2 linked regions of the Pelodiscus sinensis genome follow. The protein of the gene in region 1 purifies or fractionates together with the protein of each later gene. This does not show direct contact. Links are inferred from orthologs where the notes say so. Each region holds a gene or a part of one and is shown in the gene's direction. Other genes may lie near its edges.

Region 1 (9,949 bases):
CAGCTTTCCCCATATTCACAGAGTCTCATCACAGAAGGCAATTAGGTTGGTCGGGCATCACTTGCCCTTGGTGAATCCACGTTGACTGTTCCTGATCACTTTCCTTTCTTCCAATGTTTCAAAATGGATTCCTTGAGTACCTTTGCCATGATTTTTTCAGGGACTGAGGTGAGGCTGACTGCCCGTCTGTAGTTCTCCAGATTCTCGTACTTTCCTTTTTTAAAGATGGGCACTTCTGTGCCTTTTCCCAATCACCCAGGAAATTCCACTGACTACTCAATTAGCTGATTAATTGAAATTTAACATTCCTAGTTGGAGCTGGGAAGAGCTCCAGCCATTGGAGCAGCCCCTCGACTGCATGGCCACGGCCTCCTGAGCAGGCTCCCAGCTGGCCCCTTGAGCAAGCCCCTGGCCAGCCCCTCAGGCAGGCCCCCAGTCTCCTGTACCTGCCCCCACTGCCATGTTGCATGTCCCAGCATCCCGCTGGAGCTGGCCCCAGCCAGCCACTGAAGTGGCCCCTCCACCATGCTGCCTCAGCTGGTCCCACAAGCCGGAGCAGCTGCCTGCCATGCCACTCACTTTCCAGCAGGAAGGTGAGTGCTGCTGCATGGCTCTGTAAATGAGGTGGGCAGGAGAAGAGAAGTTTGTGTGCGGCCGCGCAGGCACGCAGCTTTGCCGGAACAATGGCCATCACGATCCTGAAGTAGCATTAATGGCCCTCACCTAGCATGACTACTTTGATAACACCAGTTTATGCTCCATATTTCAGTATATTACAAGCTTTCCAATGATACCTTCCAATACATGATACCTTACACAAGGCATTTTGCATAAAGCATTTTCAGTTATGTCATATTCATAAGCATTCCTATTCTTCATGAAGCTTATCAGAACACCCCTCCCCCCCCCAGTTCCCAGCCCCAGCACTGGACAGCCAGGAGGCAAGGCCCCAGTACTCTGGGCTGCTGGATAGCATAGGGCTGCTGGATGGGGCAGCATGGTCTGAGCACCACCTGTAGAGGGTGGCCCCAACACTAGCTGCCCTGAGTTTCTGTGTGAGACAGGCCTGTCATCCCCAGCCAGGGCAGAGCACTGGCACAAGGGAACCCGGCCTGGGAGTGCAGTGTGGGTGGGGCCACATTTGGCTGTTTGGGGAGACACAGCCTCCCCCTGCCTACAATACATGCTGCCAGTAGTCCTCAGTCTCAAAGGAAATTTACACAACACTTTCAAAAGATGAGTTTGGAAGCTTACATTCATAACTTTGCTAGACACTAAATATCATGAACTGAATAGAGGCACATATCTTATTATAATAATCTGAAACCCTCCTTCCACTTCCTTTCCTCCCTCTGACTGGAGAGATGTTAATAGACCACTTCACCTTGAATGGTCCCTTGAAATATATGTCAAAACTACTTATGCCAAGTGATCTATTCAATCATATATTTAGCAATGACACCTGGAGTTTCTCAGACCTGAAAAAGAGTTCTGTGTAAGCTCCAAAGCTTGTCTTTCTTACTAATGGAAGTTGATCCGATAAAAGTTATTACCTCACCCACTTTGTTTCTCTAATATCCAGGACCAACATGGCTACAAAAACATCGCAAACAAAAATGGCATAGGACATTCAACATGGCATAGAAACATATCTTACTGCAATGTACACTGCACAGATGTAATTCATAAAGGCAAAATGGCTAATTTAAAAATAAGATAAGAGACTCCAAAACCCAGTAATGATTGGCGTTGTCTATATTCTGAACAAAGGGAAATCTCAACTATGCCTGTAGTTGCTTCTATAACTTCACAGGGACTCAATAAACATTTTAGGCTCAACATTCCTGGAATCGTATTACAGGCAGTCCCCGACTTACGCGGATCCGACTTATGTCGGATCCGCACTTACGAACGGGGCTTTTCTCGCCCCGGAGCTCGCGGGCGGCGGGACCACCCAGAGCGCAGCCGTCCCGCCACCAGGGCGAGAAAAGCTGCTCCGGGTCTCCCTGGTGTACTGGGGGGGACTCCCCAGCATAGCAGGGAGACCCGAGCAAAGCCGCAGAGGCGGCGGGGTCCCCCGCCTCTGTGGCTTTGCTCCTGTCTCCCTGCTGTGCTGGGGCGGGGGGAAGAGTCCCCCAGCACAGCAGGGAGACAGGAGCAAAGCCGCAGAGGTGGCGTGACCTCTGCGCCTCCGCGGCTTTGCTCGGGTCTCCCTGGTCTGCTGGAGGCGAGGGGGCGCAGCTAGTGCACCCCCCCCCCAGCAGACCAGGCTTTTGTTGCGGGATGCCTGGGGTAGAGCAGCTGGGGTGCTGCCGGGTTGGTCCTGCGGGGACCTACCCGGCAGTGCCCCAGCTGTTCTGTCCCAGGAGTCCAGATTCAGCCGCTGTTGAAACTGATCAGCGGCTAATTCCAGGAAGCAGGGGGCAGAGCAACTCTGCCTAGGGCTTCCTGTAGTCAGCCGCTGATCAGTTTCAGCAGCGGCTGAACCTGGAGCCAGTTCCGACTTACATACAAATTCAACTTAAGAACAAACCTACAGTCCCTATCTTGTACGTAACCCGGGGACTGCCTGTATACAGATTACTTATATCCCAGTACGGGGTTGAGAACCAAGAGATTATGGCCCCATTGTGCTAAGTATGGTACATAGTCCAAGGCAGTCCTCCTGGCCCCGAAGAGCTGAGTCTAAGCATAAGAGATAAAGGGTGGAAGACAAAAGGAAAGTATTATGCTTAAAATCGGTTACCAGCAAAGCCAGTAATAGAATTCATATTTCCCGAGCCTTTGGCCAGTGCCCTATTGTACCGACTACTAGACCACACTAAGGTCTATGCTTTTGCAGTCAGAGCAGCTGGGGCTGGAACTCTGTTGCCATAGCTAGGTCTGTCTAGTGCCAACCCAAGTAGCTGACAGGAAATCTCTGAAACAATTATGTGTTTCATGAGACCCTTTTGTAATGGCTTTTGTTAGAAACTACCACAGCCCAAGACTGTCTCAGCAGGGTGGACTGTTTTCTCAGAGTCCAGACTGATGCCAGTGTGTGGTGCTTTCCCAGGCCCAGTGACATAAGCCTGCAGATGGTTGGTGAAGTGGACAGATTCTCTAAATTGGTGTGCTTTTCCTTTTGGGGCACTGTGTTTAAGAGGGAATAGTGTGTGTAAGGATGTGGCCTGACCACAATACCCCAACATGAAGCACAGATTGTCCATCCATACTAGATATAAGAGTGTTAGGAGATCTAAGTTGAAACTTTTGGTATCATAGGTATGATCCAAATAATGCAAAAGCCATGTGATGTTCCAGCACAGCACGACTCCAGTTCATACATCCTACAAAATCATGTGGTACATGAAGGCTACGTCTACACTGGCCCCTTTTCCGAAAGGGGCATGCTAATTTTCAATTTCAGAATAGGGAAATCCGCGGGGGATTTAAATATCCCCCGCGGGATTTAAATAAAGATGTCCGCTGCTTTTTTCCGGCTTGGGGAAAAGCCGGAAAAAAGCGTCTAGACTGGCCCGATCCTCCGGAATAAAGCCCTATTCCGGAGGATCTCTTATTCCTACTTTGAATAGGGCTTTATTCCGGAGGATCGGGCCAGTCTAGATGCTTTTTTCCGGCTTTTCCCCAAGCCGGAAAAAAGCGGCAGACATCTTTATTTAAATCCCGCGGGGGATATTTAAATCCCCCGCGGATTTCCCTATTCTGAAGTTGAAAATTAGCATGCCCCTTTCAGAAAAGGGGCCAGTGTAGACGTAGCCAAACTGTGTCTGGGGACAACCAGATTGTAACTGGGATTCCTGACATGTCTGCATTTATTGCATCATAACAACAAAATTCAATCACTTGCATATGAAATAAGTCAATATGGTTAGTCCCATTTCACAGACAGGAAAATTGAGGCATACAGAAGTGTAGCGATTTGCTCAAGGCTCCATAACGTTTCACAAGAGATCTCTCTATATAAAAAACACGTTTCCTGAAGGATAACAGAGCAACATCAGCACATCACTCTGCATCCTGCCGCCCGGAGTCCTTCCTACCTCCCTGACTCCCTGGTGTTCTGGGGGACAGGCAGGAATCACACGGCCTCCCCAGTACTGGGGCAAGCAACCATGCAGCCTCCTCAGTGCTCCAAGGGGGGGGGGGGAGTGGAGCAGGAGCCATGTGGCCTCCCCAGTGCTCCGGGGGGCAGGGCCGGAGCCATGTGGCTTCCTCAGTCCTGGGGGGAGGGTAGGGGGGTGGGGCGGGGCAGGGCAGAAGCCCTGTAGCCTCCTCTCTTCCTGGTGTTCCTAGGATGGGCAGGAGCTGCATGGCCTCGCCCCCCTACCTGGTGTTCAGGGGGGCAAGAGCCCCACAGCCTCTTCCCTCCCTCCCCCCAGGGACCAGGGGAGCACCAGTGAACAAGAGAGAGCTGCACGGCCTCCCCCCTCACAGGTGTTCTGGGAAGGCGGAGGAGGTTGGTGAGCGTAGAAAGCAGGAGGGGTCCTAGTATACAATTAAGGGTTTGTTTCTTCTAGGGTTTCCAGATTCAGATGTAGCTACATCAACATAGCTGCATCAGTACAGATCTCTAGTTCAACTTCAGACACACTGTATCAGCATAAACTGGGATTTGAACTAGTGTCTCTCAGGTCAGACCAGCTTCACCAGTGCAAGCCCCATGTGATACTAGAGGCATGCTCTGTGGTAGTTACACCAATGTTGCTGCTAGATAAATACCTCAATGTAAAAAAATCCTAAATTCTCTGAGCATTGCAAAGATTAAATGACAAAGATTAATCCCTTGGAAATTTAGCAACAATAGGGGGCAGAAAGCCCAGTATTACTGCCAGATTTCAAGGAGAGAGCATGGTGTTTATGCAAAGAACAGGAATTCCCCCTTGGCTCCAGACTTGGAACAAATAAGCTTAGGGAGGCTGCCCTGCAAAAAAGGACCCAGGGAAAGAGAATAAAAGAAAACCAAAGATGGAGAATTTCAATAGTAAACTCCTTCGTGCAGGGACCAGACCCTCTGGGTGAGGTGCACCATTGAGCACTCACACCATCCATGTTCAGACTGAAAACAAAACCTAATAGATAATGCTGGAATGGTTTGGGAACAATGTGGATCTTGCAGGTCAGCAGTACAATGTGCAAAGCACAAGACTAGAATAGCCAGTGACATGGCTATCTAAGGATAAGGGGCATCAACAGAGCTGTGCCAGGACACTTGGGTCTGGAGGAGGCTGTGCCCAGGGAGCTAAGTGGGTTGTTCAGGTGCCCCCACCTCCTGTCTGGTTCTGAATACATGAGGAACTACATTCCTTGCAGTATTGCTGGTTTGTTTTTTAACAGCGTCTGTAGGATTGGAAAAGTCAGAGTCAGATGCTCTTGCAGCTGGTTGCTTGGGGAGGGGCTAGGGAAGGGGCCAGAGGGACCCTGCCTCCTGACTCACAAGAGCTGCCGGGCCTCTGCTTACGTGCAGTGGTTGAGACTGGAAATGAAGTCACTGGTGGGGGGTCACCAGGTTAAGGAATGGGGTGGAGGTTAAGCCTGGAAACACCAGTTGCTGAAAAAGTTGGGGAAGGCGGAGGCAACCCAGCGCTGGGGCAAGAGATAAAACACAAGCGTGCGGGGGCGCCTAACTGAGGGGCTTTGCCTAAGCTGAAGGGAAGACAGGAGTGGAGTGGAAGGGGCTGGGAATCAAGACTGAGCCGCAAGGCCGGCAAATCTCGGGGGAAATAGGGAATCCAGGAGTGGAAGGAAAGCAGGGAGGGTATGAAATACAGGCCTCCCATAGCAGCGATAGGAGGGAAAGCTGACACCTCCCTCCCCTCACAACACAGGGGGAAGGGCAACGAGAGCTGGTTGTAAGAGGGAGAGCGTTGCTGTTCTCCCCCACTCGTCTCTCAACAGTCCTGTCTAGTGTATTCATCCTCCTCCTCCTCTTACCTCATTGCCACATTCCCTGGTGAGTGAGCTCAGCTGTTCGCGCAGCCTCTCTCCTTTTATGGTCACACAGCTTTGCTTGGGCGAGGCCTTTTTGCGAGATGCTAGGAAGTCCTGGGCTCTGTAGTCCCCCCTCCTCCAAGTCCTTCCCCCTCCCGATTTGGCAGACAAGCAACCGAAGCTGGTTCTGATCGCTGTGCAGGGGGCAGAGCGCGGCACGCCCAGGCGCTGGGAGGGCAGAGTGGGGCTGGGCTTGCGTGCTAGCAGCACTAGAGACTTTACAGGCAGCTACAAACTTTTAGTCCAAGAGACCCAGCCTGCTCCTCCCCAGAGGTGAGTCCCCTCTCCTCCCGCTTCCTTTGGGCAAAAGTCCCGGCTGAAGCTCGTTGCCTCCTAGTTTTATTGCAACTTTATGCTCAAAAACTAACTGCGGTTTTTTGGCAGCAGGAAAGCTCCCCTCCCTCTAATTTCCTGCCCCACGTCCTGGGGCTGCGAGGCTGAACCTGCTCTTGTGTGCGCGGTCGGTGCTGGTGGCACAGCTTGGGCCGCTCTAGTTAGCGTTAACTTTATGGACTTGGCGTCTCTGTCTCCTTTTCCGGGGGAGCCTCATACTTTTGAAAGCCTGACTAAGTTGCCAACCCTGGGCTGGCGGGTAAGTGCCCCCAGCCGCCCCGTGGAAATGAAATACCTAAGAAATCGCCTCCTTCCCTTTGTAAAACTAGCAGCCCGCGGGGGCGGGGAGGGCGCGCTGCCGAGTCGAGACGCTGCAGTGTGAGTGAGACCCCTAGAGCCTTTTTCCAGATGTTTGGGTGGGGAAAGAATCCGAAACTTTTCGAGACTCCTTCATGTCTCCTCTGCCCTGCCGGGGAGGAGATCTGAGGAGACGGGAGGTGAGTGCCTGCAAATTTGTGACTGTCTGGCGCTTGCAATATGTCTGCATGTTTCTTTCTTGCCGTGCTGTGTAGCGAGGAACGGGGAGACGCGGGTGTGCAGTTATGTGACTGCTACAGATTCACTCCAGGCCTGGCTTTGAAAGTTCCCCTTTCCCCGGTCCAATCCCTGACTACAATTTACATGCCTGGAAATGAACTTTCTGGTGGGGAAGGGGAAGTAGGAGTCATTAGGCAAAGGAATGGGTGGGGGTGGGGTGGAGATTGAGTGGAGAAACACCAGTTGCTTGAAAAAGAAAGGACTTTGCTGTTGCAGGGACGCAGGGTGGGTTTTTTTGTTTGTTTGTGCGTGGTGTGTTTGTTTTTTTGCTATCCAAGCAAACTTTGCAGGATTAACCAGAGTTTGATGGGGTGGAAACACATGTGACTCTGTTTAACTGGGGGAAAAAAGAACACCCCCCCCCCAAAAAAAAACTGAAGTAAATCAGCTTCTTTCACTTCATATTTTAATAGCACATCCCCTTCATTTTTCATTTGGAGGAGGTGGGTGACTTCATGCCAGAGTTACTGGATTATGAAACAAAAGCCCCCTCCCACCCAAATACTGCCTGCTTGCTCTGAGCTGGGATCCTCCCTAGGGAAGGAATCATTTTGGAGAACATTGGGGTAGGTCCCTGCCTTTGCTTTCCATTCTCTGCTCCTGGGTGGGGTACAGTGAAGATTGGCCAGTGAAGTTCAGGTCCTGGGGTCACACACCTGAGACTGAGAATTGGTTGGTTCCCTTTCATAGAATCATAGAGCTGGAAGAGACTTCAGGAGGTCATAAAGTCCACCCCCCTACCCAAGCAAGGCAGGACCAATTCCAACTAAATCAACCCAGCCAGGTATGTCACCCAGTAAGTATGGCTTAGGTCAGGACTTACATCGAAAATAGAGCAATCTGTGATGGCCTTAAGAGATTGCTTTCATGTAACCAGTGCAGCTATAGCCAATGAAAGGCTCTAAATCTCAATTTCTGGCTTTGGTGCAACCTTCCTCTAGCCCAGGGCTACTCAACTTTGGATGCCCTGGGGGCCCCAATGGTACTCACAGCACATGCTGAGGAATGCAACTTAAGCATGGTTGCATATACATGCAAATATATATGCAAATAGCTTCTTTCCCAAAATGCCCCAGTGCTCCCTGCACCTCCTCCCTGGGGGCTAGAAACACTGACACCCTGTACCTGTCTGTTCCAGCCAGCCCATCCGTTTGCATCTTTCTATGCTTACCCCTCCTGGGAGACATCTCGCCACTATGGCGCGTGTTCCCAGTGGAAGGCATGTTAAAAGGATTCCAACCACCGGCTGTGTGTTGAGCCCCATGTAAACCCAAACCACAGTGCAGGCTACATGTTCAATAGCCCTGCTCTACAGCTGTGTGGAATCTTCTGATTATTGTAGATGTCAGAACATCTCTTCCTTTGTGGGAGGCTTGATAACTAAATCGGGCTCAGGCCTGCCTAAGTGGCATTCCCTCAGTAATTGTACACCATAGTAGAACTGTGGGGAGACCATAGAGGAGGTGGATCAGTCTAAAGGCATGCTAGGAAGGCTTCGATCCATGGCAGCTCCATACTCCCTTCCTTCTAATAGGGTGACTGGTGGACAAACAGAAGAGATGCCTTCCTGCTGCTTTTTAAGCAGAACTTGGGACAGGCAGGGGCAGCTGCAGGTGGAAAGCTGCTGTGAGGAGAAAGAAGCTTTGGCCTAGATAAATGTATGTGTATTGGAAGGAGGGGGAAGGAGGCTGCTCTGGGGTCAGGGAGATGGGAACAGCTGCTGGCAATGACCCTAACGTATCTGCATGAAGCAGCTGATGTCCCATACTCCATCTCTCTAAAGACCAGCTCCATTATAAAGTGTGATCATGTGGAGACTAGGCTGTGATCTTCAAGTACCTACACAGGAAAAGATTCTAATGGCAGTTTCTTGAAACAAGCAGGTACAGGCATAAGAAGATTCAATGGCTAGTGATTAACTATTTGAACAGTTTACCAAGGGCATAGTGCGTTTGCTATCACTTAGTTTTTAAATGAAGACTGGATATCTTTCAAAATGACATGCTTTAGCTCCAACAGAAGCAGGATCACTGTGTGAGGGAGGATGGTCTGTTATGCAGGTCACAATAATAAGGCCATTTTTTGGCTTAAAATTTGGTAACCTGCTCTTCAGCATCCTTATGGACTGACCTGGGGAAGGGGGGAAGCATCTTGTGGTCTATGCTGATGACCCTTCTTCCCTAACCTGCCCTTCAGTTGGATATGAGAGAGTTCTCTGGGGCTATGGTAGGGGAGGGTGGGTGAGGATTATTTCAACACGCACAGCCCTGCAGGGATATGCAGAAATGATCAGCAAATATAAAGTAGTTAATTTGCAGGGCTCTAGATACAAAATGTGTACCAGCATCCATATCTGCAAAAATGATCTGCAGCTACCCCTATCCATGAATGCAGATATCTGTGAATTTGTAGGGATCTACCAAAATAACAACTAAGGCAAATTATCTTGATCTCACAGGTACTTTACAACTTGGAGAACTTGTTTGTGGCCCTAGTGATAGCAGTACTGTGGAATAACTGTCACAGGGCTGTTTGCTCTAACCACTCCAGTGAGGCAGCCCATCCTCATCCATGCTGACTGTGCAGAGGCAGGCACTGTAGAAGAATGTTGTTCAAAACAAACTAACTCTGCATGCTGGCATACTTACCCTGTGTGCCATGGGAGCATTATTGTGTGTGGTCAGCATGACAAGCTGCTTAGTGCAGGCAAGCGCTCTGGGCTGGGTACCAGCATAGGGGAAAATCTCAGCAATGTGGGCTCTTATCAGGAGATGGCCAATAGCTCCTGGATGTTGTGAGTTTGGAAATATCCTAAGGGCAAATCTGGCATTGATCCCTGGCGGGAGGGGAGATGGGGAAGGAGTTTCCGCGGAGAACTTGTTTTTCAGGACATGACTGGGATGGGAAATAGGCAGTTCTCTCTGCAGTGAGGTACCATTGGCAGGATGGAGCTGTGAGCATGTCCTGGGGCAAACAGGAAAGCGCTGTACAGCACAGCAAGCTTGATGTGCTGGCTTTAGAGCAGCAG
Region 2 (10,489 bases), on another chromosome or scaffold:
GTGGAATCTGTAATTTTTAAATAAATGCTTCTTCTATATTTTTTCTAATGTAAAAATTAGAGGAACTGGTATGATACTTTTTGAAGGCGGAGGGAACCCCATCCCCATCCCCTATGACTGGAAAGCAGTAAAGGTATTAATATGTCTGTAGATACTTGAGATAGGAGAGACTAGGTATTCAGTGATTGACAGAAATTGGCTGAACAAAAATTGATTGAAGTTCTGTGTAACATGTTTTTGATCCAGTGGGAGAATTAAAAGCAAAATATAAATCTGTTTTTAGTACGGACATGTGGTTACTGAAAGATGTAACAGCAAATGTTCATGTGGTTGAAATAATATTCCTATTTTTTTTCTAAAATCACGTCCTGTACCTTATGCTCATGGGAACATAGAAAGGTAATTAGAAGAATTGCAAAAGCACAGAGTAATTTAACTTTGTAGAGCTAATTTAGTAGACTGCCCTGATTGTATACATGCCTAAAAATTAAGGGCCCAATTCAACAACTTTACTTATATGGCATGTGGGACTAAGTATCTTGGGGTATGTCTACACTACCCCGCTAGTACGAACTAGCGGGGTAATGTAGGCATACCGCACTTGCAAATGAAGCCCGGGATTTGAATTTCCCGGGCTTCATTTGCATAAACTGGGCGCCGCCATTTTTAAATCCCTGCTCGTTCGAACCCCGTGCCGCGCGGCTACACGCGGCACGAACTAGGTAGTTCGGACTAGGTTTCCTAGTCCGAACTACCGTTACTCCTCGTGGAATGAGGAGTAACGGTAGTTCGGACTAGGAAGCCTAGTCCGAACTACCTAGTTCGTGTCACGTGTAGCCGCGCGGCACGGGGTTCGAACGAGCAGGGATTTAAAAATGGCGGCGCCCAGTTTATGCAAATGAAGCCCGGGAAATTCAAATCCCGGGCTTCATTTGCAAGTGCGGTATGCCTACATTACCTTCCTAGTTCGAACTAGGAGGGTAGTGTAGACATACCCTTGTGGAGTAAGGGATTACTTGTTTTAAGAAAAGGTAGATGAATCAAGATCTAAGTGGATACAGTGAGGATAGAATTGTGCATAGTGACTAGGATTCCAACTTTGGATATATAATTTGATGAAATTTCCAAGAATATCTTTAATTAAAGATTAATCTTTAGTTGCTTGAGACTTCAGGTCTTCACAGGTTGGCAACCCCAATAGTGACATGTGTAATACTAGTGATATATGCAAGACTTTGCAGATTTCATTGAACCAGTCTAAGGGGGCTTGCAAAGTAATTTGGTTGCCACCGAGGGGACTCATAGGGGAAGACTAACTAAATGTAATTTATTCCCCTCCATTTTTCCTAAGACCTTATGTCAGCTGGGATATGAAAAAAACAAACAAACAAAAAAACCCAATTCTATGGATTTCAGGGGATAGGGAATTGAAATTATTCTGATTCTTAGTTGTGGATGAGCTAAGCTTGATTGCACCTCAGAAGAAATGGAAGAGATCCCAAGATTGCTCTAGTCATTGTCTGAGGGCTGTTCTAATTTACATTGAACTGTAATGATTCTACAACAGGTATTGGCTCAATTGAGAATAGCTAAATGCTCCCCCTGACTCATGACCCTGCCGTGCCTCTAACTTGGGTTTTTTTGCCAGAGGAGATACATCCGGCTAGAGAGCTCTATATTATCCCGGAACGTACCAGATTACTGATTCACTTATCTTATTGGTGCTTTGCTTTAGCAAAGATGTCATAAAGAGGCCACAGAGGAAAAGTGGGCTTAATGTATCCAGAACCCACCAAAAAAAATTCATCAGTATTCAGGGGTACATTCTGTGGATGCATACTGCACATTCATAAGGACCAATGGAATAATGAATTATAATGTGTGTGTGTGTGTAAGAAAAATTGGAACATGGATCATTTGTATTGCAGGGCACGTGTACAAGGGAATAACCACAGGAATCATAGAATACTAGAACTTGAAGGGACCTGGAGAGGTCATCAAGTCCAGGCTCCTGCCCTCACTGCAGGACCAAGCACCGTCTAGATTATCTCTAATAGATGTCCGTCCCAACCTTCTCTTAAATATGGAGATTCTACAACCTCCTGAGGCAATTTATTCCATTGCTTAACCAACCTGACAGTTAGGAACAACTTCCTAATGTCCAACTTAAACCTCCCTTGCTGCAATTTAAGACCATTGCTTCTTGTCCTATCATCAGAGGTCAATGAGAACATATTTTTTTCCTCCTTGTAACACCCTTTTAGGTACTTGAAAACTTCTATCGTGTCCCCTCTGTTTTCTATTTTCCAAACTAAACAAACCTAATTCTTTCAGTCTTCCCTCATACATCATATTTTCCAGACCTTTAACATTTTTATTGCTCTTTTCTGGATCCGCTCCAATTTTTCCACATCTTTCTTCAAATGTGGTGCCCAGAACTTGACACAATACTCCAAATGAGGCCTAACCAGTGCAGAGTACAGTGGAATAATTATGTCTCAGGTCTTTCTCACAACAACCCGGTTAATGCATCTCAGAATCAGGTTTGCTTTTTTGCAACAGTGTCATGCTGTTGACTTATAATTAGCTTGTGGTCCATTATGACTGGTGAGCCCTTTCTCCAGTACTCCTCCTTAGACAGTCACTTCCCAGTCTGTATGTGTGAAACTGATTGTGCCTTCCTAAGTGGAGTAGTTTTCATTTGTCCTTATTAAACTTCATCCTATTTACCTCTGACCATTTCTCTGGTTTGTTCAGATCATTTTGAATCATGACCCTATCCTGCAAAGCACTTGCAACCTCTCCCAGCTTGGTATCATCTGCAATCAGTGCATGGAATACAAACATGTAGAAAAACCACTGCACTGCTCATCAATAATGAATGCAGTGCTGTGTACAGGAGACTGTAACATTCAACAGTTTATGCAATGCCGTTGTGCAGAGATATCACCTGGGGTTTGAACAATAAGTAGACAGGCTAAATAATCCCCTACAATATCTGAACTTATGTTTGGTAGAGAAACCACTGGAGGGTCCATTACTGTATGCATTGCTTCTATGCACAGGAACCCCAGCCCTGCACAAGTGTGCAGAGGGGCCACCACTCCCCGCCAGGGGTCGCCAAAGCCTAGTAACCCCGGTTCATTTCTCCCACAATTGCTGCTCATTCCCTGCTCCTCCCCACTTCAGAATCCACACGGAATGCAGACCAGTAGTGGGCGTGGCCCCGCCGCTCCGCCCACCGCGTCCCCTGCGTGCGGCCGTGCCCCCCACCCTCTCAAGCAAACCGGTGTCTCGAGACGCCCGCGCTCTGGTGCAGGCGCTCCCGCCCCTTCCCCCCTACTCCGGGAGTTGGTTTGTTCCTCTTCGTTCCCCTCACCCCCCGCTGTGGTCGGGTCTGGCCCGACCCGGCGGCTGAACGGAGAACTCGCTCGCACTCAGGGACTTCGCTGCCCATTGAAGGACCGGCTCGAGAGGAAGGGGGAGAGCGGCTCCCCGACGCGGGCAGCACCATGAGGTGAGGGGCCTCCGCACCGCGGTGTTCGCATGGGGGGCGCTGTGGGGGTCTCCGGTGGGAGGAGGGCCCGGCGGGGGGGCCTAGGCGGAGGTAGCCGGGGAAAGCGCGCGGGTCTGTGGGGAAGGGGGGGGCGTTGTTCGAGGGGCGGGTTCTCTGCCGCCTGCGCCGTTGGCTTGTTGCTCTGTGGAAGCGCCCTGGGGGCCGTTGTGCGGGCGCCGGGCGGGGAGGGCTGGCTCCGGCTCCGCGGGGATAATGGCCAGCCCGCCCGGCGCCTTGGGGAGCCAGCGGGCCGGGCGCGGCTGCCCGTACATGGCGTGAGAGCCCCTGTGATTTGGGCGGCGCGTGGGGCCAGCTTGTGAGCTCCTGGCGCGTCTTTTTTTTTGCGGGGCTGGAGGCTGCTCGCGATCCCGTGTCCAAGGCGGGGAGGGAGAAGCGCTGCCCTTCTATCGGTGTGTGTTGCATTGCAGCAGCAGCTGGGTTTTTCCCTGTGTAATCAATAGAGGCAACCCTCCATCCCCCCGCCCCTCCCGGCAGCGGGGAACACATTGTTCTTGGGGCGTGTTAGTCCCGATGCAAACCTCGAGCCGCACGTTGCTAATTCCTTTCGGGGGGGGAGTCTTTGTCCATTTGTCTGAGACTGAGCCTTTATGTGATCGTATTTGCTTGGCGACTATTTTTCCACCCGCTCCAGCCGTTTCGTGCCTGTTCAGTATCCATAAGCTCTCTCTGAATTGGTGCAAGACTTCGTGAGAAATGTGACTTTGTAGACTGAATGGTGATGTATTTGGAGACGCATTACTATGATCCACATAGGCCTGCCCATTAGGTTAAACAGTTGTCTGTGTGTGTGTCGGGGGGTGGGGGACTGTAAATTACCTAAGATATTGTCTGTCTTTGTAGTTAGACTTGAATCTTCTTTGTGTTAAAGATTAATGGCCAGCAGTTGCCACGTCCTTTAGAACGCACCAGTAAGCTTTACGTGATATAATCTACACATTCCTTTGCTGTGACAGTGTCAAGTCTAGGAATTCTTCACAAATGTGAGACGTTTCTATTTTAAAGTTTTTATTTAGTTTTTTTAGGGTTTTTTCCCCCAAGGGCAAATGTTAACCATGGAGCCTTGGCATATGAAGAACTGGGTTCTCTTCTCTCTCTCCCCTCCTCCCCATGCATTCTGTTCCTGGGATGGCTTTATTTTATTTTGTTTGTAGTTACTTATGCATTAAATTTGCTTTTTAAAGCTATTTTGTAATATTAAATAACTTTTCTCTTATTCATACAGTGTTCTTTCACAGGGCTAGCTTCTCAACACTTTAAAACACTCAATTAATTCATAGTAATTGCATATTTTGTATATAGCACTTTCTACTGTTTTGATAATTTAAAAAGTTTAATTTTTATATCTTATTTGCATATTTTAGAGGTGAATTTGTAGTTTTGAGGCAATCATTTTACTTAAGCTATGTCTCTGGTTCAAAAAAAGTTTGTTGGTACAGTTGTATCAACTAGCCCTCCTAATGTAGGTGCAGTTTATACTAGCAAACATACCTCTTTTGCCATTATAGCATGTACTGATTCAATGCATGAAATAAGCTATTCTGGCAAAAGAGACTTTTGTGTTCTAGCAAAAACACTTTTATGCATGTATAAATGTATGCACATTAAGAGTTTTTGCTGGTTTAAGTTTTGCCAGAGTTCCAGCATTACCAACAAAAGTTTAATGTAGACCTCCCCTTAATCTGTCTAATATTAAATGTTTGTATAGTATAGTGAACTTTAAACTGTATACTTGTACGCACGGGGCCTAAGCATAAGCAAAACATCTCATAAATCTATGTCTCTTCAAATTCTAAGTAGCAACTGTTTTTAAAAGGAAATTGTCTGGAGTTAAATGTTCATTATGAATGCTTGCTGATTTAAGGAAACCTCAAGAATTCTTCAGGAATTGCATAAATCTAAGCCTTGCCCAACCATGCAAATTGTATAGTTGTAACTAAATTGGTTTATTAACAAGCTAAATCAGCAAGTTCCCCTTGTGTTGGACAGTGTTAAATAGAATCAATTTCTCAATCTCTTTAGTTAACTAAGTACAATATGTGTAGCCAAAGCTTCAGTGAACATATTCTCTTAGGGCTTGTGTAAGTCAGCATAAAAGGTTGTATTTTTAAAATATGTTCTTTGAAAGGCATTAGTTAATTGGTCTTTACACAGTCTTACAGACAAGCAAGTTTGTATCTTTTCTGGTCAAGGTAAACCCTTTGAATGGGGGGCCAGGAAGAATCAATGCTTGCAATGTGACAAATGTGCTATTTGTCAAATAGCTAACAAGTTTTGGAAGTTTGCCTGTGTTAAAAATTTTTTTGCTAACACCTTTTAAAATATCTTCTCTAGTCTAGACAGATATTTAGTTATTAATTATCATAAATTAGGTGTAGTTCTGAGAGAGGTTCTTCCACTTACAGCTTAATTTATAATAAACAGAGATAATGTATACAATTGACACACTGCCTACTTGTTTTTCCCTTTGATATTTTCATACCCTCTGCCCCTTGTTTTCCACCCCCTTCCTTTTTTTTCCTTCCCCTTCTCCCCTATTTTTTTGGGGTCTGCACATCCTAAACTCAAAACTCCCGTCATCTGAAGAAGTGGGCTATACCACGAAAGCTCATAATACTATCTACATGTTTTGTTAGTCTATGAAGTGCTACCAGACCATTTGTTGTTTGATTAAAAAAAATAGGTGAGTATAATCTTTTCAGTGTACTCTTGTACAGAAAATTGCTCTGAACTATAACTTCATTTTACATGCTTGCGCTCTCAGGCGTGGGATAAGGGAGTATACAGCCAAGTGGTCAGAAAATTCTTTCCCTGCCATCCGAATTCTGAAGTAATGCTGGTCTGACTGATGAATGGCTGCTCCAATATTTGGAGTAGCTAGGTGGTTGAAAGTTAACAAATAGTTTCCCAGTTTTTACTTTATCAAATACAGCTTGCTGTCACCTGAATTCTAAAATCTGTGCAATGTAATAGGGCGCACATGACGATATGTATTTAAATATCAACAGTTGTTTGTAGATGCTTGAAAATTATAGAAGAGATATTTAGATCTTAGCTATTGAACACAGGATTTAAATTCTAAATCTTGAATTACACAGGAGTATAGACAAGTTTCTGTATAAAGTTTTGTTTCAGAAGTCCAACTCTTCAGTAAACTATTTTTTAAGGGTGAATAGGTAAACAGTTGATTTTTGCATGTCTGCTCTTTTTGCATTGTAACTGACAGAGTACGTGGTGTTCTGAATCGAGTGTTACGTGAATGGACTAATCTCATAATAGGTGTCCAGAAATAGTTAGATGTGACTAGGGATTCCATTGGCAATTGGAATACTAAAAACAGTGGCTGTTAATATCTGTATCTTAGGGGTTGATAAGTCTGAGCGGCCGTGTTAGTCTTAAGCTTTAAAATGAGTAATCCTGTGACACCTTTCTTAGAGATTAACAAAAAAATATAGAATCATGCATAAAACCTACTTCACGAGATGAGTTTTCCATTCCAACTCATTCGATAAAGTGCATTTTACCCACGAAAGTCATGATTCTATATATTTTTGTTAGTCTCCAAGGTGCCACAGGACTACTCATTTTTAGGGGTTAATGACTGACATCTTTGTACAATTAATCCAGAAAATATTCAAAATTTCAGTGTTTAATGATATTTTCTTTGTTTACAAATGTCTGGGTCTGATATCCCTCTTTATAGGTTATTCAGTTTTAATAGCATTTGAATTTCTAAATAGGAAAAGTAGCTGATCTGATTTTTTTTTCTAATGTCTATTTCTTAGTAAGTGATATGGTTTCCTCGTTCCCAATTTAATCTTTATTTTGATTTTAGATTTCTTTAAAACTACCTTCTGAAAATTTCTACTTTGAGTAAATATATATGATTTCTTTCTAACTAAGTAGTCATCAAAAATCAGTGAATCAGACTTTGGGTCTGGGCAGATAAGTTTTTCTTGGCATTTTAAAGGCTGGATTAAGATTCACTACTTTATTAATGAAATGGTAAGAGAACCTAGTTCCAAGCCTGTGGTAGCAAAGCTAGCTAGCTTAATTGGGATAAAGAATTCTTGGGGAATCTCAGTTGTCCTACAGTTCCTTAATGTTCAGTTATGCCTAGAAGTGACACTACTCACGACAGTAATAAAGTTAGGGTAATCTAAATTGTTTATTATTGTCAAGCTGAAGGAGCCAGTTATTCAGGAATGAGAGAATAATAAGGGTTTTGCAGCGTGCTTTGCTGTATGGGGTAGAATTTCAGAATTGGGCTTTTGTTGTAGTTTTTACTACCTGCATGACACATGACATATTTGGAATGGAAAATGAGATATGGTTTTGAAATATTTGACAAAATATTTAAAGTGAAGAGCAGTCAGTTAAATCTAGCGATATTGCTGTACATGTTCCTGATCACTAAATTGCTCATTTCTCTAGAGTAAAATTGGAAGTGTAGGCAGATTTTTCAGGTGGGCACAAGAATTCAGTTCAGGTTACTCTCCTTGCTCTAAGTAGACTGAGGCTGTGTCTTCACAACGAGCTTGGGGTGTGATTGCCAGCTTGTGTACACACATCATGAAAGCCAGTACAAGTGTAAATAACAGTGTTGCTGCAGTAGCAGAAGTATCATACCGAGTATAAACCCGCTTGAACCCTGTGGGTACATGCTTGGTGTGGCTTACACTACTATTTATATTTGTGCTAGTTCTCATCAAGCTAGCACAGGTATATGTGCGTGAGAGATGGGGAATTGCATCTCTAGCTTATAGCATAGATGTAGTTTAACAGTCATTTGTCTGATGCTATTGCAGACTTTGTTAGCTAGTGCTTCATTTGTGACAGTTGCAATAGTTCTTGCACTTTTTTTCTTTGTCTTATATGGAATCTGACAACTACTTTCCTCAAAGTCTCTGGATAGTCTATGAATTATTTTGATAGTAGGTTTATAAGACTTTATTTCACAAGAATAAGTAAATGAAATGCACATCACCTAGAATTCCTATTCTTCATAGATGGTTGCTTGTAACATACTAAGATGGCCATATTGCAGAGCTCTAAAAATTACAAATGACTTGGGGGTGGTGGGGTCCAGGAAGGTGATTTATAATTCAGCATTAGCCTGGAAGCATGCATACATGCAAGCTGCTTCCTCCTGATTCTGATGAAAGACTGTATTTTTAAGCAAGTCAAATTTAGCTGATACTGCTCTTCTCTCTTCCACTTTGAACTGTAGGGCATGAAGAACTGTATAGTCCTTTTTTAACCTCCCTCAGAATAGGAAGAAGCTATTCATTCAGCATACACACTCACTGGTCACCTACATGACACACGGAGATTTGGTCTACACTACAAAGTTAGGTCAACATAAGTTAATTTGTGTTGACCCTGTTGGTGCATAGTCAGATTTGTCTTTAGCTAACATAAGTACCCTGTTAAGGTGATGCAGTAAAACCATCTTTTTGAATGGCCTTGAGCCATAGTTGACCTACTGAAGTCAGGTCAAACAGTATCTACACTTGTACTGCACTATGTCAACCCTGGTGATTCTCCAACTGTCCCAAAATACCTGGCAGTTTCCGCTGGTTACAATTGTGAATTCCACTGTCCAGGGGTCTTAAAGTGGAAGCCACTCCCTCTTGTTTTTGGAAATGCATTTTCCTGATTGTCTACATTGGTGAACACACGTAGCAACTCTCCCTTGTTCAACTGCACAACAAACTCTGCTGGTTCCACTCACTAATTGTGTTGCTGCTAGGAGTAGGCTGGAGGTATTGGATTTTTTGGGTCTGTGGTGAGAACAAGCTTTGAAAGCACAGCTACAGACCAGCTGTTGAAGTTCACATTTACAAAAAGATTGAACGGGAGATGCAGGTGAAGAGGTATGACAGGGATCAGTAGCAGTGTCAGGTGAAAGTGAAGAAACTGTGTCAGACATACTGCAAGGTCAGAGAGGCCAACAATTGATGTGCTAAGTTGCAGATCTGGAATTCTTACCATGAGTTATATTCCATATTTGGCAAAGACCGTACCACCATCCTCAGACCCTGTGTATACCTTGAAGGAGCCTTAGACACAGACTCCTGCCAAGAAAAGTAAGGAAAAAGGTATTGGGGGAGATGTGTTGGGAAGAGTCCAGCTATGTCAGGACCTATTTGTGACTTTGACACAGTATAGCTAGTTCCTTAAGTAGAGCACAGATGAACCCAATGAAGTGGAAGGAACCATAGGTAGGTATGAGCACATATTTTCCCTCAGAGTTTAAAACAAGGGTGGGCAGTAATTTTTACAGGGGTGCCATTAATTAATTTTGGTACATGGTCATAGCCTGGCTCCTTCTCTTCCCCCATCCCATGGAAGGCGTGGGGTTGGGGACTAGCCTCCCCACAGAGTTGTTTGGGGCTGGAAACTTGGGATTAAAAACACAGCAAAGGGTTTGCACCTCCCAGCCTCACCAGTAACACATTGCCTGGCAGCTACCCAGGGTTAGTGTGGCTATTTAAAGGGTTGCTGGTTGTGATACTACCCCAGCAGGGGCTGGAGCCACAATCCTTTTAAATAGGCACAGCATTCCTGGGCGGCTGCCAGGCAATGAGGTAGTGGTGGGGTTAGGGATGTGAATGACTAATCAACTATTCGACAAGCAAATGCTTTTTGGATAGTCGATGCACTAGTTGCTCCCTTCCCTTGCTGCCTCTATCAGAAAGAGGCAGTTGGGGGAGGGGCAGGGGGAAGGAAGGGGCGCTTCAGAGCAGCACCACCATGTGGAGTCTGGGGCCAGACATGCCCTGGGCTCCACGCAGTGCTGCCACTTTGAAATGCTGCAGTTTGGGACCAGCTGGGGACTCCCCCACTGACCCTGGGCTCCATGTGGCACTGTGGCTTTGAAATGCCTCGGGGAGAATTGGGCCAGTGGGGAAC

Evidence for each region.
Region 2: the proteins of ZYX (region 1) and ENAH purify together in Homo sapiens (co-immunoprecipitation; 4 studies listed by BioGRID and IntAct, counting the BioPlex papers as one, with this or other methods). This does not show direct contact. The link is inferred for Pelodiscus sinensis from reciprocal best matches to the Homo sapiens genes ZYX and ENAH.

The regions. Positions count from the first base shown.
Region 1 is NC_134711.1:137,758,996-137,768,944, forward strand, and holds the start of ZYX (zyxin), read left to right. Parts: upstream 1-5,829; 5' UTR 5,830-5,953; intron 5,954-6,128; exon of another isoform or gene 6,129-6,264; intron 6,265-6,416; exon of another isoform or gene 6,417-6,583; intron 6,584-6,668; exon of another isoform or gene 6,669-6,821; intron 6,822-7,611; exon of another isoform or gene 7,612-7,705; intron 7,706-9,865; exon of another isoform or gene 9,866-9,949. UniProt on the Homo sapiens protein: Adhesion plaque protein. Binds alpha-actinin and the CRP protein. Important for targeting TES and ENA/VASP family members to focal adhesions and for the formation of actin-rich structures.
Region 2 is NC_134713.1:156,791,433-156,801,921, reverse strand, and holds the start of ENAH (protein enabled homolog), read left to right. Parts: upstream 1-6,198; 5' UTR 6,199-6,213; coding exon 6,214-6,257; intron 6,258-10,489. UniProt on the Homo sapiens protein: Ena/VASP proteins are actin-associated proteins involved in a range of processes dependent on cytoskeleton remodeling and cell polarity such as axon guidance and lamellipodial and filopodial dynamics in migrating cells.